Linked DNA regions of Ovis aries. The protein of the gene in region 2 interacts with the protein of the main gene of each other region in a pairwise test. Links are inferred from orthologs where the notes say so. Each region holds a gene or a part of one and is shown on either strand. Other genes may lie near its edges.

Region 1 (3,500 bases), on a different chromosome or scaffold from region 2:
CTTCAAGGACCTCCCTTCTTTTTTCCCACACCCTGGATCATTCATCTGATTACACCACAAACCCCCAAACCACTTACAAACCAATGGCTCCTACTGCACCCTCCCCCTGAGTGGGCTGATGCAAAAATCTCAGCTCTCATCCCCCTTCCTCTCTCTCTAGGTGCTCATAAGAGGCCCTTTTTCAAGTCCCTGTGTCAGGGAAGCTGCCCCAAGGCCACAAAAAGACTGAGCTGCTAACATGATCCAGTGTAGTTACCAGGGAGGAGAGAAGGCCTCGAGCTATGGGAATCGGAACCCCACAGGTAGGCATCAGTCACTACTAAAGAGCTGAAGAATTTTTGTCCAGTTTGTCCCTACAAAGGTGGAGGGATTGCTGGGACTCTCCCAGGCTTGAGAGACAGGACACCTCTGGCTAAGGGGTTAGACTGGGGCAGAGGAGGCAGCTCTAAAAACCCCTGGCTACAAGGAAGGGTTCATGTGATGCCCTGCCCTAATCCCACACCCTTCTGGAAATTTCAGTGACCTGGAAGAAAAAACCCTTCCAACCCCAGAGGAGCCAGGCCCCAGTGGCAACTTGAATCCTGCAGATGCCCAACACCCTCCACCCAGAGTCCCTCCCTGTCTCCCCCCCTCGCTGCCACCAGCCCTCACTTCACCAGCACTGACTTTGGCAGAAAGGGCTCCGTGCTGAGGTCTCCATGGTGGGAAGACAGCTGTGGTGGCGGTGGCTGCCCGGGAGGCTGCTGGTGAGTGCAGGGCCCGGAGGTGGGGGCAGAGGCAGAAGCTATGGCTTTGGCTGCACCTCGGGGCAGGCTGTAGAGGTAGACGGCACCGATGACCAGCCCCGCGCCCAGGGCAAACAACGGGTCCACATGGAAGCCAAAGAGGCGGATGGAGGCAACAGTGGACAGCACAATGGACAAGGAGGTGGCGAAGCCCTTGAGGATATTGTCAGCATACTTGACGACAACAGCCACCAGGAGCCCACCAAAGGCCTGGTTGAGCACCACACCCCAGACAGCAGGTGTATACCCAAAAAAGAATCCGCGGTGGGCTACGGCTGTGCCCTCAGCCCACCAGAGCCCCACCAGGCCCAGGGCTGTGCCAAAGAGGCCCAGCTGCAGGTTGCGCAGCCACACGGAGCCTGAGCTGCCTTTGAGGATCTTCTCAAAGTAGACACCGGCAAAGCCTGAGGAGAGACAGGAAGCCACCACAGCCGCTAGGCCCACCCCAGGGTTCTGATCCAGTGGCCGTGGACCCCCGCCGCCAGCTTGCTGTGCCTGGACAATGGCGACGCCAGTGAAGAGGAGCAGCAGGGAAGCCCATTGCAGCCGAGAGAGGCTGCGGTTCAGCATGAGCACGGAGAACAGTGCTGTGGTCAGGATCTTCAGCTGGTACGTCACCTGTGAGCGGCATGCAGAAGGCACTGAGGGCTGATCCCAACCCCAACATGTGCACATGGGGGATGGCGCCGACTGTGGGCCCCCAGGCACAGTGGAGGCACAGGGCAGAGTAGATGACCGTAGAAACAGCAAAGATACCCAGCCGCTGGCCACTGACTGGGATGCGACTACATAGCTCTGAGGTGCCTCCCAGAAAGTACCCAGGAGGATGGCTGTGCAAGGATGCCCAGACCACAGCCAAGTCCACATTCCAACCCCGTGTCCCAGCTGTGTGAAATGGGAGGAAGCACTTGCCCTGAGTCCTGACATAATCATCTGTAAATACGACTGATATATTTGAAGTACCTCACACAGCAGGTAACCAATGAATTGTAAACATCCTGATGAGGGAGGTCTTGATAAATACATATTGATAAAAAGGAACCCGTACATATTGATACAAATGAATCCATGCATATCCATACAAAGGAATCCATACATATTGATACAAATGAATCCATTATGAAATAACATCAGTAAACATTTACATAGAGGCTACTGTGTGTGCCAGGTGCGGGTCTAAGCACTTCACATGAATTCATTTAATCCTCATATAAGAAGTGTACTATTGCAATGTCCAATTTAAAGATGAGACAGAGAGGTTAAGTGACTTGCCCAATATCACACAGCTGGAAAGCAGCAGAGCTGGGATTTGAACCCAGGCAGCCTGGCGCCAGAATCCAGGGTCTTTAACCAATTAAAGAGGCCACCCGTAAATAGCCTAAAGCTTATCCATCACCAACCAAGGGCTCTTCACAGATATCATTTCTTTTAATCATTCCAGCATCCCAGTGAGTAGCTACTATTACCATTTCCCTTCCCAGTTCTCACAGATGAGGAAACTGAGGTTGAGGAAGAGCCAAGGACATTCCATTCCACAGGAGACACAGCCCCTGCACTTTGCAGTACTTCCTCCCCAAACATCCTATATCCCCCACCCGAGCCAGTTCCTCTAGGGCCATGCTGGGCTTTGGGCTCACCTGGAAAGTGGCAGCTGGCAGGTTGGAGATGGCAACATACTGGAGGTTATTCTGCAAGGTATAGATGAGAGAGGGCACTGCAAGCTTGAGTGTGTCCATGTACTGCACCAGGACAGCCTCATGGAGGAAAAGAACCAGGTGCTTCACGTTACCTAGGTGGAGGGAAGAGAGCCCTTTTTAGCACTGACTACCAACAGATGGGGATCCTCTAAAGGACAGGAGTGGGCCTGGTCCTGTGTCTCCCCACTACACTGACTTCCTGAGGGCTAGAATGAGGTCTGTGCTCAGTTTCTCTACAGCACAATGTCTCCAGCAAGCCTTTTGGATACTCAGTCTGGGAACCACAGTCCATATTTCATCACTCATCTTAGAGCCCACCTCCCTGGCACAAAGCCCCAGGGCAAGCCCTCAGTGCAGTGTGTGCAATGAAACTATCAGCACTAACTAGGAGCTTGTGAAGTAGATGCTCTCGGATGGTGGGTAGAAGGCTGTTTACCAAGAGGGATTGTTTCAGACTGAGCTTTTAGACTTTTCCTAGATCCTTCCTAGCCTGAGAGCCACCTGAGAGCAGGGGCAATCTTCCACTTGGCCACTTCTTTCCGTCAGCCTCCCACACACCAAGCATTTGCCCCTGTCAAATGGAAGAATGCAGGCTTAACTATGAAGCAGAAAGTCTGGCTGGGATCTGCTCCAGTCAATTCATGAGAATACTTTTCTATATAATAAGACCTTTACAAATCTCACCCCACTTTTTCGCAGGTCAACTTTTAAGGCTCAGCTAAGTATCCTTCCTCAGGGAAAACCCCACAACTACTGTACATGGTTATTGCACGAACTCCTGATGTTCATTCACAAAACCCTGTCCTTGCCCTTCATGGCATTAAGTCCCAGGAGTAATTATTGATCTCTAACCCCTTACACATATCCCCTGCGCCCAGGGGTTTGGGTGTTCAAAAATGTCCAAGTATTAGGAAGGTAACATGGTATACATGCTATATATTTCACACAACACACACCACACATGTGGGGTTACACACCATAATCAAGCTCATTCATATTTCTGCAGTGACTCGTGGAC
Region 2 (3,500 bases):
GTTCCTTATCATGGGCCTGAGCTTTACTCAGATAGAAACATAAAATTAGAAAAACTTTACTTTGGAGTCCTTCTGTTTCATACATCCTTCCTCTTTTATTGTTCAGTCCCATTCTGTTGTCCAGTCTTACCCCAAGCCTTGACCTGGGGCATCCCATCAAATTACTTATTGGTTAGTTTACTTCTCTCAAAACTGCCAGTCCTCTTTTCCAGCCTCTTGGCATTTTATGTTTTCCTGAGTCCTTCCATCCCCTTTAAACACTCAACCTATGTCAACTTTCTGTACTAATCTTAAGCTAAAGTCAGATTAGAGTTTCATTTACTACCCGCTCCCCCGACCAGATGGCTTCTAGAAATTTCATTCAAAGAATCATTTCACAGTTGTATCTTTTCCTGCTTGAATTTTATTTTGGATAGACTCAACTAATTTATTACTGTATATCTTAATGGAGAATAGAAAATGTTAACTATTTCAGCTAAACTACTTTCATATTAGTTCTCTGTAGCAAATAAAGTTTTTAAAATGAATCTATAAGTAAACATAGGAATCTACCTGCATCTACTGAGTGATATAATGTTCACAGTTATGATGGCATATATATAATTTTAATATTGGTTTCATTTTACTTCTAGTTGGAAAGTAGATTTATTAGTTTGCTAAAAGTTTTTGTCCTTTTTCTTTTTTCAATTTAGGTTAAATCTCTTGATGAGAAGCATGTGGTTGGCAGGATTTCCAAGCACTGGACTGGCCTTATTAAAGAGTTATTTACAGATGCTGATAACTTTGGCATCCAGTTCCCATTAGACCTTGATGTGAAAATGAAAGCTGTGATGCTTGGCGCATGTTTCCTCATTGTAAGTTTACTCCTGCTAATCTAGGGTACAGATGGTTTCTCTAGTTTTATTCTGGAATAATTTTTTAAATTTTATATATTTAAACGACCTTAAATTTGTAGGTTTTATTGAAAGTGGTCCTATTTAATCTTAGCTCTGAAATTCCGTTTTCTTCTGCTACTCTTGGTTCACAGGTGACTAGCTTCTCTCTGGAGGGTCTGTGTAGTTTCACACTGTACCAGAAGGATGTTATATGTTAAGGAGAAGTTCTGGTTTTAGTGGTTAAAAAAAAAAAGCCACCACCACCACCAATAACAACAACAAAAAAAAATTGGTACTTTGGAGAAGAGTTTGAATCTTCTAGTGTGTTTAAATGAAATAAGTCTCAGTGAAACAAGGATATTTTTTTCCTTATTCATTATTAAACCATCTAATACAGAAATACAAACTGCAGTAAGTGTACATTTGATCAAGTCTTGGATGGAACTATCAATTGAGAGGAAATATATGGAATACAGCATTGATTCTGAACTTGTCTTCACATTAAATTAGCTAGGAAGTTTTTAGTAGTAAGCCATACCCCAGTTTAACTAAATCAGAAGCACACCATTAAAAGTTCGTGTAGCTCCCTAGATGATTCCTTATGTGGCCAATGTCAAGGTCTCTGGGGACAGAGCAGTGGTTTTTCACCTTAGCTGCACAGTAAAAACACCTGGGTAGCTTTTGCACTCCCTATGTCAAGACTGTACCCAGATCCAGTAAACTAAATCTGGAGATGGAACAAAGCCATCAAGTGTTCAAGCTGTCGTATGATTGCAATGCAAATGAGGTTTGGAGCCACTAGATTATCTTAAACACTGACATGCAGAGGCAATCAGAAAAAAAAAAAAAGAAAACTAAAAAGTGAGAGAACATACAGGAAAAGATTCAGTTACTTCAACAAATAAATATCAGGAAGATAAAAATGAAAAGAGAAACACCAGCTTAATATCATTTGTAGACTCTGTTTGGATACTGGTTTAAACAAACCAATATAAAAAGACATTTACAAGACCTTCATGCATTTGTGAACACAGGCTATTTGATGATATTAATGAATTATTAAGGTTTTTAAAATGATGTTATTATGGTTATACAAAAACAAAACAGTCCATATTTTTTAAGGGTGTATACTGAAGTATTTCAGTATGAAATGATATGGTTATTTATCACAGATTTGCTTTTAAATAAGGGAGATGAAGCCAGGGGAACATAAGGGATAGATTAATTGGTGAACTAAGCTGGGTGAGTAGTCACTGGGACTTTATTATGCTGTTCTATCTAATTTGGCATAGATGATATTTTCTATATAACATTTTAAAGATAACCACAATTCTGTTTAAAAATTGTGCTTTCAACAAATGTTTATTTCACCTGAGAAGAAAACTGTAATCTTAATCTTAGGGAACTGTTTAACCAACGGTTTACACACCATAACCAAAGATATGATGTGTATAGGGCAGAGAGAATAGTTTGGGATGTCTGGTTAGATGAGATATGGGACTGAAGGGTGTTGGTGGGGTTATGAAGTGAAAGTCCCTCAGTCATGTCCAACTCTTTGTAACCCCATGGACTATACAGTCCATGGAATTCTCCAGCCCAGAATACTGGAGTGGGGTTATTAAGAAGTGAATATTGGGTAGATTGGGCAACTTCTTATAGACCTTGGAAAGATACTAAAAATTGTTTAGTTAACTGGTTAGTTTTAAGCTACGTATAAATAAAAATAATTATAAATCCAAATGTTAGAACAATAAATCCTGATGACCAACTGTATTAGTGCAACTACAAGTGAATGGTTATAAAGATTTAGTTATTTCTTTATAAAGGGATAAAGGAAAATGACAGATGTGAGAGAGCTAAAATCCATACAATTTAGAAGTCATAAAGATGAAGATTTGGTTAGAAACTGATGGAGTAAGACAAACTGAGGAATAGAGAGACAGGCTTGGAAGAGAAGTCATAAAATTGGGCCCCAAAATTCTAAGATGTTATTCTAAGTCTAAGATGGCTGCCATTCTCCTGAAACAATCTAAAGATTGTACATGGAGTTCCATGTACAGTCACAACACAAGTTATGTTACTAGAGAAGGAGTTCAAAAAGTTGAAGAAGAAAGATTGAAAGAGGAACATTCTAAGAAGCATGAAAAAAAGTGAAACTTACAGAAATCACCTGAGAATTACTTAAGTTCATGCAGGTATCAATAAGTTAACAGAATTGTAGGATTTAATTACCATTAAACTGGAAAGTTGAAGCTATCAATTTTTCCTAGATCTACGTATTACAGTTGATTTTTCTTGTTTAGCAAGTATGTTATTGTGTTTCATCAGATCCCTTAGTATTTATGCATCTGAGACCTGATCTTTGCTTGGTGCTGAAAACTCATTTCTGTATTTTGTTTTTCTCTAGGACTTCATGTTCTTTGAAATGACTACTAAATAGAGAGCAGGAGTGTGGTAGTACATTTATGAAAGTCTCAGAAAATCTGAAGTCCGTATATTGATTGGGACTATGTAAAAGAAAAACTGGGTGGATTTTTTCTTTATGTAAATGATTTATTACAGCATGTGTAAATTATATTAGGATACCTGAAGCTTCAGGCATATGCTTTTACTTTTCAAATTAAA
Region 3 (3,500 bases), on a different chromosome or scaffold from region 2:
ATATTAAAAATGAAAAACATAAAAGAAGCAGAGTCGAGAGAGGAACAGAACAGAGAGAGGAACAGAATCTACATGAAACCTTAGAGAAAATTAACATGAGGCAAACAATGAGGTTGAACCTTCCAGGGGTGACATCTATTTTGGATTTGCTCTTGTGGACTGCCCCATTTCTTTACAATGGAAGATGCAAAATAAGCAGTCTTCTGCCTCCACCCCAGAATTTCCCCAGATATCTATTATGCATAGGACTTATTGACGCTAACTTCATTGAAAAAACTTACAGCCCCACCTTCCTCAGAAACCTTTTATGAAAAAATTAATTTGGTATTCTCTATACTCAGAGAGTTAACGCACATAATTTAACATCTATTTATTATCAGATTCTTTATATTAGAAACTGAAAATGGACTTTACTCCTTCTCTCTCTTAGATGATTACAACATCCCCTAATAAAGGGCTCAAATTCTTATTCACTTGTTCAGAGTGATTAAATAGGATGTTAAAAGTGTTCTTTTTTTCCCGAAGAAAACCTAGTGTCCTAGGTTTTTCAAGGTGGCTTTTCTATATTAACTTGGATTTATTTCACCAAGTTTAAACAATGAGATCAATTCATTTAATTATTTTATTTCTTTATATGATTTTTACTAACATCACCATTATTTAATGACAGTTATTCATTTAATTTAGGAAGTTCATTTAAAAATACTGAGAAACTTGTGCCATAATTTTTAAAAACTTATAAGAATGGTTTCTGGAAGCAGTAATTTATACATGATCTAGAAATTAGAAGATTTTAAAGAGGTAAAAAAGATGAGATTTCAAATTTTAGAATAGCATGACTTTTTATTACTTTACTTTAAATTTTATAAATATGTATTTTGAAGAATTTAAATAATATTTTCCTCTCTCTAGATTTTTGCTTCAGTGTCTTGAAGACCTTGATGCCAATCTGCGAAAATTAAACTCTCGTCTGTTTGTGATTCGTGGACAACCAGCAGATGTGTTTCCCCGGCTTTTCAAGGTAATTGAAAAAAATCTTTGCATAAAAGAAAAATCTCTTGTCAGAGAAGACACATTTGTGGGGGGGATAATTTAAATTTTAGTATGGGAAATGTAAAAATTTTAAATAAAATATATGTGGATTTTTTCTTAATGAAAATGTTACACAGACAGTGTGAAATCAGACTGTGAAAAAAATGATTTACATTGAAGTTAAATCTTTCTTCTATTTTAAACTGCTAGTTCCCCTCTCAGAAGCAACAGCTACTACCGCTTTCTTATATATGCATTAGAAATAGTCCTTGCATAAATAAGAATGCATATGTGTATGTGTATTTATATACATATATTTGTGTGGTTTATGTGTATTTAAAACCTCTGTTAAAACCTTTTAAAAACCTCTTGTTTTTAAAACCAAGATAAGAACATGCCATGTTATACCATTCTATGCCATGCTTTATTCACGTGCTTTATTCATGTGCTTTTAAACCTCTGTTTAAAAACCTTAAAACCTCTGTTAAAAGTTTTTAAAAACCTCTGTTTTTAAAACCAAGATGAGAACATGCTATGTAATACCATTTTATGCTGTGCTTTATTTGCATAATCATGTATTTTGGATATTGTTCCATATTACTTTCTCAGTCTTTTAAATGGCTTCATAGTATTCGATTGTGTAGATATGCTATAGTTTCCTTTTTAAAAAATTATTATTGACTTATAATTTATATTTCAGGTATACAATGTAGTGGTTCAATATTTTATTGATTACATACCATGCAAAGTTATTACCACTTAGCATAATGTCCTCAAATTCATACATTTGCGATGCTGTTGCTAATGACAAGATTTCATTCTTTCTTTTTATGGCTGAGTAATATTTCTGTGTGTGTATATGTAAATCGTTATTCATCTGTTGGCAGGCACTTAGGTTGCTTCCATATATTGGCTATTGTAAATAATGCTGACGTGAACATTGAGGTACATACATCTTTTTAAATTAGTGTTTTTGTTTTCTTCAGATAAATAATGGGAGTAGAGTTGCTGGATCATATTACCATATGATCTGTGTTCTATTTTTTATTTTTTGAGGGTATCATTTCTTTCACTAGCTTTCTAATGAACACTTAGTTGTTTTTCCACAGGCCTTTTGCTAGTTCAAGTTATGCTGTCAGTGAATGTCCTTGTTCAAATATACATGTCTTTACTCACATTTGCTAGTACATTTGTGGGATAACTCTTGTAAGACTTTCTGAGTCAAAGGACTATATCAATTGACATGCTACAAAACTGTAATTTTTTTAAACTTGGTAGAATCTTAAAGATCTCCTAATCTTATTTTCCCCTGTTGTCCACATGAAAAATTTAGTCCTAAAGAGATTAAATGAGCTGACCAAGGTCATAAAGTAGCTCATGGAAGTGCTCAGGCTGAGTTTCTTGGCTTAGTTCATCCCTTCCTATTTACTGCAGTTAGAATTCCTAATGTATATCTGTTTTTTTCTTACAACAGTTTGATTCATCAAATTTTTATAATAGCATTGTTTCTATTTCGAATGCAGAAGAGAACAGTTCCTTTTCCTGAGTGAAAATATCCCCAATTCTGGGAATTCAATTAACACTACCTTGCCTTTTTTCATCAGCATGAAAGAAATTTTTAACGTTTAGGATATGACTAATGCAACAGTTGTGGCTAGTCAAAATTTATTTTACTGAAGTTTTCTTACTACTATAGCTTCTTAGGGTCAGAATTTAACCTAGTTACATGCAAGAGCTCTGAGCAGAAAGTATATCAGGAACAATGGTAATAGTTAATCAGCAACTCATATGTATAAAGTATATGTGAATATCTGCTTCAACTTTATATAAATCCATGTATTATAAGTAAATTGAATCTTGAGGATTTTTAAGTACCTTTAAAATAACAAAACATTTATTTACCTCCTTTGACAAAAATGGTTTAAGTAAGCAAGACTGATGCTGGGAGGGATTGGGGGCAGGAGGAGAAGGGGACGACCAAGGATGAGATGGCTGGATGGCATCATGGACTCGATGGATGTGAGTCTGAGTGAACTCCGGGAGATGGTGATGGACAGGGAGGCCTGGCGTGCTGCGATTCATGGGGTCGCAAAGAGTCGGACACGACTGAGTGACTGAACTGAACTGAAGCAAGTCTTTTGTGTTCTTTATTTTGAGCTTTCTTCTGCCTGAAATAGCATATTATTGGATCAGACTATCTTCTGAATTTAGATGCTATGCTTCTTGTCTTGTCACTTTGACAGAGAGGCAGTGGTTTCTACAAAGGCCATAAAATATAGATACATGAATATATATTACTGTGCCTAGAGTGCTTATTATTTGATTCTGATATAGTCCATATAAAATATATTTTATGAAAACTTTCAGATTTATTTAATATGTCAGAACCATAGAGAGAGTTAATTCTTCTTTTTATTGTATTGTTTTTATTTTTACTGTTTTTGTTTCGAGGTACTGTATGCATGTAT

What was found.
Region 1: the proteins of phospholipid scramblase 2 (region 2) and SLC35A2 interact in a two-hybrid assay, tested with the Homo sapiens proteins (2 studies listed by BioGRID and IntAct). The two-hybrid records come from large-scale screens. The link is inferred for Ovis aries from reciprocal best matches to the Homo sapiens genes PLSCR1 and SLC35A2.
Region 3: the proteins of phospholipid scramblase 2 (region 2) and CRY1 interact in a two-hybrid assay, tested with the Homo sapiens proteins (2 studies listed by BioGRID and IntAct). The link is inferred for Ovis aries from reciprocal best matches to the Homo sapiens genes PLSCR1 and CRY1.

The regions. Positions count from the first base shown.
Region 1 is NC_056080.1:56,168,656-56,172,155, reverse strand, and holds part of SLC35A2 (UDP-galactose translocator), read right to left. Parts: intron 2,575-3,500; coding exon 2,423-2,574; intron 1,404-2,422; coding exon 667-1,403; coding exon of another isoform or gene 648-666; exon of another isoform or gene 1-647. UniProt on the Homo sapiens protein: Transports uridine diphosphate galactose (UDP-galactose) from the cytosol into the Golgi apparatus, functioning as an antiporter that exchanges UDP-galactose for UMP.
Region 2 is NC_056054.1:242,594,358-242,597,857, forward strand, and holds part of phospholipid scramblase 2, read left to right. Parts: intron 1-692; coding exon 693-854; intron 855-3,282; coding exon 3,283-3,315; 3' UTR 3,316-3,500. UniProt on the Homo sapiens protein: Catalyzes calcium-induced ATP-independent rapid bidirectional and non-specific movement of phospholipids (lipid scrambling or lipid flip-flop) between the inner and outer leaflet of the plasma membrane resulting in collapse of the phospholipid asymmetry which leads to phosphatidylserine externalization on the cell surface.
Region 3 is NC_056056.1:175,908,054-175,911,553, reverse strand, and holds part of CRY1 (cryptochrome-1), read left to right. Parts: intron 1-912; coding exon 913-1,021; intron 1,022-3,500.